Kluyveromyces lactis: one gene and its partner. The protein of the gene in region 2 interacts with the protein of the main gene of each other region in a biochemical or structural test. Links are inferred from orthologs where the notes say so. Each region holds a gene or a part of one and is shown on either strand. Other genes may lie near its edges.

Evidence for each region.
Region 1: the proteins of RTT109 (region 2) and ASF1 are reported together in a solved structure, tested with the Saccharomyces cerevisiae proteins (3 studies listed by BioGRID, with this or other methods). The link is inferred for Kluyveromyces lactis from reciprocal best matches to the Saccharomyces cerevisiae genes RTT109 and ASF1.

What each region holds. Positions count from the first base shown.
Region 1 is NC_006041.1:1,330,493-1,333,392, forward strand, and holds ASF1 (nucleosome assembly factor ASF1), read right to left. Parts: upstream 1,437-2,900; coding exon 603-1,436; downstream 1-602. Other genes in the region: KLLA0_E14917g (uncharacterized protein), read right to left, coding at 1,886-2,900. UniProt on the Saccharomyces cerevisiae protein: Histone chaperone that facilitates histone deposition and histone exchange and removal during nucleosome assembly and disassembly. Facilitates histone deposition through both replication-dependent and replication-independent chromatin assembly pathways.
Region 2 is NC_006042.1:1,189,673-1,193,226, forward strand, and holds RTT109 (H3 histone acetyltransferase RTT109), read right to left. Parts: upstream 1,841-3,554; coding exon 548-1,840; downstream 1-547. Other genes in the region: dynamin-related GTPase DNM1, read right to left, coding at 1-181; PRE3 (proteasome core particle subunit beta 1), read right to left, coding at 2,167-2,749, 2,854-2,918; SFI1 (Sfi1p), read right to left, coding at 3,209-3,554. UniProt on the Saccharomyces cerevisiae protein: Histone chaperone-dependent acetylase that modifies 'Lys-9', 'Lys-14', 'Lys-23', 'Lys-27', and 'Lys-56' on histone H3 (H3K9Ac, H3K14Ac and H3K23Ac, H3K27Ac, and H3K56Ac) to promote nucleosome assembly, genomic stability, DNA repair and transcriptional regulation during mitotic S-phase.

The DNA of each region.
Region 1 (2,900 bases), on a different chromosome or scaffold from region 2:
TATCTCTGTCAGGTTCCGAAAGTCTCCAATTTCCGGGTAATCTTATTTACCTCATAATATGTCCCGACGTTGAGTAACTCATCCTTGACTACAATGCTGGCTAAAGGACCCATCCATAGTCCAAATATACAGGGATTGAACTGCTGTGAAACTGCTATTTTAGAGAGATACCACCTTATCAACTGCTACTTTTGGAGGGTTTACTGTTTTCCCAGCCGGATTGACGATAAAAACGGTAGGATTTTCTCTTTTCGGTATGGGGAACGAAAAATGTACTTTTTCAGAAATTACGGGCGTGTGGCGTAGTTGGTAGCGCGCTCCCTTAGCATGGGAGAGGTCTTCGGTTCGACTCCGGACTCGTCCATTTTCTTTTTTGTCTTGAACGACAACATTGCATTCGAAGCGTATAAAGACCTTCCCTCCAAGCTAGTAGTTGATGCAGTCTTGATTTTTTGGACGCTTCATCGACGTGAGGAAGAGTACCGGTTTGTGTTGGTCAGCAATGTTACAAACGGGATTGAAACGATACTTATGAAAGGTATATAAAAGTGCGTTAATTTGGGAGGCCGCCGCGGGAGGCCAGGACGTGGAAACCGTTACTATTATTTGTGTTGGGTAGTATCCTGCGGCGTAGGCAAATCTGCATCATTCTCACTATCACTTTCTTTTTCTAAGTCTATCTCTTCCGCTTCTTCCTCGTCTTCCTCGTCTTCTTCAGGTCCCAAAGATTCCGCTTGCGATTCACCCTCGTCGTTCTTAACGTCAGAAGCAGTAGATTTCTTTGGATCCCTTTTCAGTTTCTTCTTTTCAGGAGCAGTTTCCTCACCTTCACCATCATCTACATCGTCTTCTTCTGCAAGATCTTCTTCAGCGTCCTCATCTGCCTCTTCATCCTCATCCTCATCCTCCTCCTCTTCTTCCTCTTCCTCAGGCTCTTCTTGTTCCGGAGGATAGAACTCTTCTTCACCCTCATTATCCCAAACGATATTAAACCTAGTAACTCTTGGTTTCTCAGCAAGGATATTTCTCACCACATGATCAATAGGCACTTTCTGAGGTGGGTTCTCTCTCAATTCTTCCAAATCGTATTCGTTGTTTACGTAGTACCCAACCCTTACAAACTCTTTACCATTATAAGAGCACGATAGTAAAATCACAGTAACACTGACCAATTCACTAGCAGGAATCAGATCTGGTGAAGGTGCATCTGCCACGAATTTGAACTTGTTGATACCAACGGGTATAGGACCCACCAGGATAGAATCCAATTCTTGATCATGGTCAAGTGATCTAGAAGAACCAACATACGTCAATTTCCATTCCAAATCGTGTTTTAATGGCTCAAGACATTCAAAAGTGATTTCAAATTCATAAGGGTCTGTGAACTTGGCTGGATTGTTCAATACCTTGATTCCTAAAAGTGATACAATAGACATGACCGAAAAACCGCTGTAACTAATATAATGATCCCTACAGTAACTCTCCCGATGCCTTGATACGTAGTCACTGGATTAACAAAGCTTGTTCTTAGAGCAATGCTTTTGTTAAGGTTATGTGATGTGATGTATAATCTTTTTTTCTATCTTTATATTGAATAGTTGAAAAGTTTAAAAGAAAGCGCGTCGCGTGAAGTTTTCAATCAGACAAAGAAAAAGACCGGTAGGAGAGAACGTTGAATCAACAAGGGCTGCTGTAGGTTGATAACACTCTAACAACAGTAGCTCGATAATAATACGATCAAAAGTTTTATTGAATGAAACAAAAAAAAAAAAAGAGATATAGAAGTGAATATACATACCTTATGTAAAATTGAAGTTCAAGGTGAAGGAAGATGCAATGTAGAGGGGAAGCCGCAGCACGGCCATTTCCCCTTCTTTTTTTTTTGTTACACCGTCAACGATGTATAAGTATTAGATTCTTGTACGAATTCTTGCGACAAAGGTCTTCCATTATTGAGCGAGCCATACGATAGCACGGCCGCAGAGGAAGTAGACGATGATGGTGAATGAGAGCCATCCAATTCAGAGAGAAACTTCGAATCGTGAACCAAAGATTCTTCAAAGTAGTAGATGGATGCAGAAATGCGTACCACTCCGATGGTTAGCACTATGAAACCGAACACAAGCCCTGTGTATAAAATCTCGGCTGTATGCGGTACCAATGAATCGTGATAGAACATTGTACTGTTCAAGATTGTAGTCAAATTATAGATGGAGAACACAAACGGATAAAGGATCGATGTAGAAAGATGAGAAAGCCCTGCGTTCAACAAATACAACTGAGTCAACGAGAAAGTTACCAATACCAAAACGAGCAAGACCATATGTAAAGAGATGGACCATTCAGTAACGATAACGTTCGACACGCATTTGGCAATGAGTAAAGCATGAGCTGACCATATACCACTAGCAAATACAAGCGAAAACCCTTTGACACGTTTCCCGACACCGAAAACACCCACCACAATAGACATGATAGCTAAAGCGTTGGTACCGACAAAATAACGAATAAATTTTTCACTTTGAGCCAATTCGCACAACTCTTCAAACGTATGCGTCAAAGGAGTGTTTATGAACATACATGACATTGAAGCCATGATGGTACCACCAGCACAAACAAAACCAGTGGGAATCAGGGGGAACGGTTCTCGTAGAAGCATATGGGAAAATAAAGAGTTGAAAACCAGGCCAGATGCCTGTAAGGGAGCCAATACGATCAAGGGCAAAGTAGCTATTTGAATGACACAACCGAATAAATTAGCCAAAAGGAAAAGCGAAAACCCCAATTGCCATCTCTTATTCCTATAAACGATTGATCTAGGTGGTACCTTCAGTTCAGAATGAAGGGAAAGAAGTTCCGAATTATTGTAGTGGAACATTTCAATACATTCAGCTTTCCGT
Region 2 (3,554 bases):
CAATACCAGTACCACGAGGTAAGAAATCTCTCCCGACCAACGTTTCCAAGATCGAAGACTTACCAGAAGATTGCGATCCAATAACAGCTAAAACCGGTAGATCCAAACTGTCAATGCCTGCATCGTACATAACATCCTGTAGCTTATTCACCGTAGGAATCAAATCTTCTAGACTTGACATCTTCAGAGTTACTTGTGTACTATACTCCGACCTAATTAACCGTTCTAATAGACTAGTTTAAGGTTAACAGGATCGCATCTAATATCTAACCAATCAAAGATACACTCAAACGCAATATTTAACCATTTCATTGGATCAAATTTCAAATAATTATTCTCAATGCAATAGGTATTTTTTATTATTTATTTATTTATTTTTATTTTTATTTTTATTTTTATTTTTATTTTTATTTGATTTAATTTGTTACATTTTTATTCTCTGTTTGATTTCTGCTGAAAATTGACTTCCAATATAGAGATCCGCTGTGATGTACGCGCAAATTGTCCTGAATCCATTATGTAGTATATATATATCAGCACCGTCACACTACGATTTAGGTTTCCTATGGACACTTAGAGTGTTTATTACGTTAATAGTGTTTATTTCAGGCCGTTTTGTAGTAGCGATCTTGTGGTGGTTTCCAATAACTTTTATCATCTTCGTGGAGTAATGCATGTCAAAAATATCTCGAATGTTCATGTATGCTTCTTCAGCACCTTCTTCAGTGTCATATTCTTCTCCAGTTATGTAGTTCTTCAGATTTTTAAAGTTCTTCTTCGAGGTTGGTATAATTATATCAGTCCGTTCTGGTTCATTGCAACGGCCGATGTATTTTCCTGACACTCCAATGACAGACACAGTTGATCCCAGTCTGAACTCTTGCCTTGCTTGCAATTCTGTCCAGAATGTTAACACATTGACTTTAGAAATTCGTCCATCACTGATCAGATGGTCAAGGAATCTGCCCTTGGGGTCATCAGGGAATAATGGTATCCTGTATAATGCAATGTCTTGCGGACTTTCAGAGAAAATGTCTCCTACGGTCCAATTTTGATATGCTGTGTTTCTCAAATAGTTGGAAATTACTCTTTTCTCTTCTCCCGGTATTTGTAAGGTTGCCTTTGTTTTATTATCGAAATCTTCGACAACTATTTGGTCTACAATCTTTAACCACCATTTGAGCAATTTGTCACCACTTAGGACGTGTTTCCTTGGGTTTTTAGATGAGTTTGAAAACAAATACTGCGGCTCTGCCCTGGTAAAAAGACTTACCTTTGTGACAATTTCCGTCGGAACCGGGAATGAAACGTATAAATCTTGGTCTGGGATTTTAACCCTTGAAGTTATCCCCTTCGAATCCAACGGTCTGTTGGATAATATTTCTAACGCTCTCTGTACTGATGTACTTCTCTTTATAATCTTTGCACCGCTCAGTGCTTTCCTTATCAGCGGTTTTACCGCCCGCAAATAATGTCCTGGACTAATTGCCAGAATATATGCAATTATTGACTTAGTTATCTGACCAATGTCAAGTCTTAGATCGCAATATCCGTTTGTATCTGCTTTGGAGACGAACAAGAGCCTTTCTACGGGACCATTATTGGCAGAATTCAAACTGAAATAAACAACAATTTCAAGAGCAAAAACAACCTTCTCTTCAAAGCATAATGCGACGAAATGTTGTGTCTTGATGGTCTTCACCGTTTTTCCATTAACGTCTTCAGCTTCGCGTTTTGGAAAAGTTATTGGCGAGGTTTCTCGTGGAATTGACTGGAGATTAATGATTTCGAACTCATGACCGAACGGAAGTGCATCTTTAATGTAACATTCTAAGGACATACTACTATATCATAATATCTGCTGGGCTTTTCTATCAATTAACAATTCAAGTTCATTTCTATATTTTTGCATAGCTAAGAGTGTATTAATGATCCGTTGTACTTTTTTATAATGCCTTTCTGATAATCTTAACTACTGAGAAAGTTTACCAATAATGGAAAGCCGAAGGCAGAATACCTCTCAGGACCGAACGCCCCTTAAGATTGGTCTTGATGATAAGGAAACCGAGGTTTCTCAGATTTATTCTTCTTATATACCAATTTTATTCTTTAAACTAATATACTTTTGCTTACAGAAGACGGGTTAAGACCGCTTTATCGTCTAATCTACAGGTTTTCATACTCATCGGGATACACAATTAAACGTTCCACACCTTCAGCAGTAAGGACAACCATTCTAATGACACCACCAGATGAACCATCCCATTTGATGGCTTGTGATAGAGAATGTTTTACAAATTCGATTGTTTCTTCTTTAGTCATATCTTCCTTATAGTTCTTGTCACAGTAACCATATATGAAAGCAGAACCAGAACCAGCAATTGAGTACGACTGCTTGTGCACAGAACCACCAAGAGGTATACTATACACCTCTCCTTTGTTTTTTTCATCGTAGCCCGCCACTATAATACCTGCTGTGAGATGATCCTTGTTCTCGTAACATAATGTCTTGAAGATCGATGCAGCAACCTTGGTTGTAGGTTCTCCATATTGTGAGGTGTACAATTCTAGATGGTACTGTACAATATCGGCAACAGCCTGAGTGTCTGCTGCTGAACCTGACCTACAACACCAGATTTTATCATGAACCTTTGTTAGTTTATCTGTGACACGGTTGGCAATATACGCACCAGTAGTTGTTCTGGAATCTGCCCCTAAGATCACACCATCTTTGAAAGTCACGGCCATACTGTTAACATTAATTAAGTTTAGTTAGTATTCACTGATATCATTAAAACCGATTGATTCGATTGTGGGAAAGAGGAATCTTAACGTTCCCTTATTGATACATACATTGAAGTACCTAGACTCACTTCGCCCTTTTTCAAGCGGTTCATATCAACTTGAATTCCATCCATTTTCGATTATATTTGGGAATGATTTGATACAGTTGCTCACTGATGATACTCAATCCTGTGAATATCGTCTTTTAGGCGGTTGCATTCCTTCAATGTTGTATCTTTCTGTCAAAGGTTTGCCACCCGCCAAAAGATTCAGTTATTCCTTAATATTTTGGCATTATCAACATAGCCGGGTAACAGAATAATGATAATAATACAAATACAAACTGAGAATGTACTTAGCTACATAACCGGCTTTGATGCAAGTAGAACCTTACGATGGGACGCAAGTGTGGATCAGACTAGACTCATTGAATCGGTCTGGATCTTCTTCTAGTTGGAGAATCGTCACGTTCGGGCAGAGAATCGCCTTCCAAGAAGTCGAGATCAACTTTTAATTTATCTGGATCTGGTCCTTCAAATGGCTGAGGCGATGGAAATCCGAAAAGGCTTGTTTCTGGAATTTTGTTGAAGCTGATGTTTCTTGTTTTTCCCGCTAACCTTTTATTCACACTCAATAGATATGTAGCCTGTGCGCCTGTAGTGTCCTTTGCAGCTGTGTTTCGCTGATCACTTAATCTCGCCTTTACAGTGCTATCCAGCACATTTGTTGTCTTGATTGGGCTTGGTATTGCTCCCCGGGCCCTACTAAAC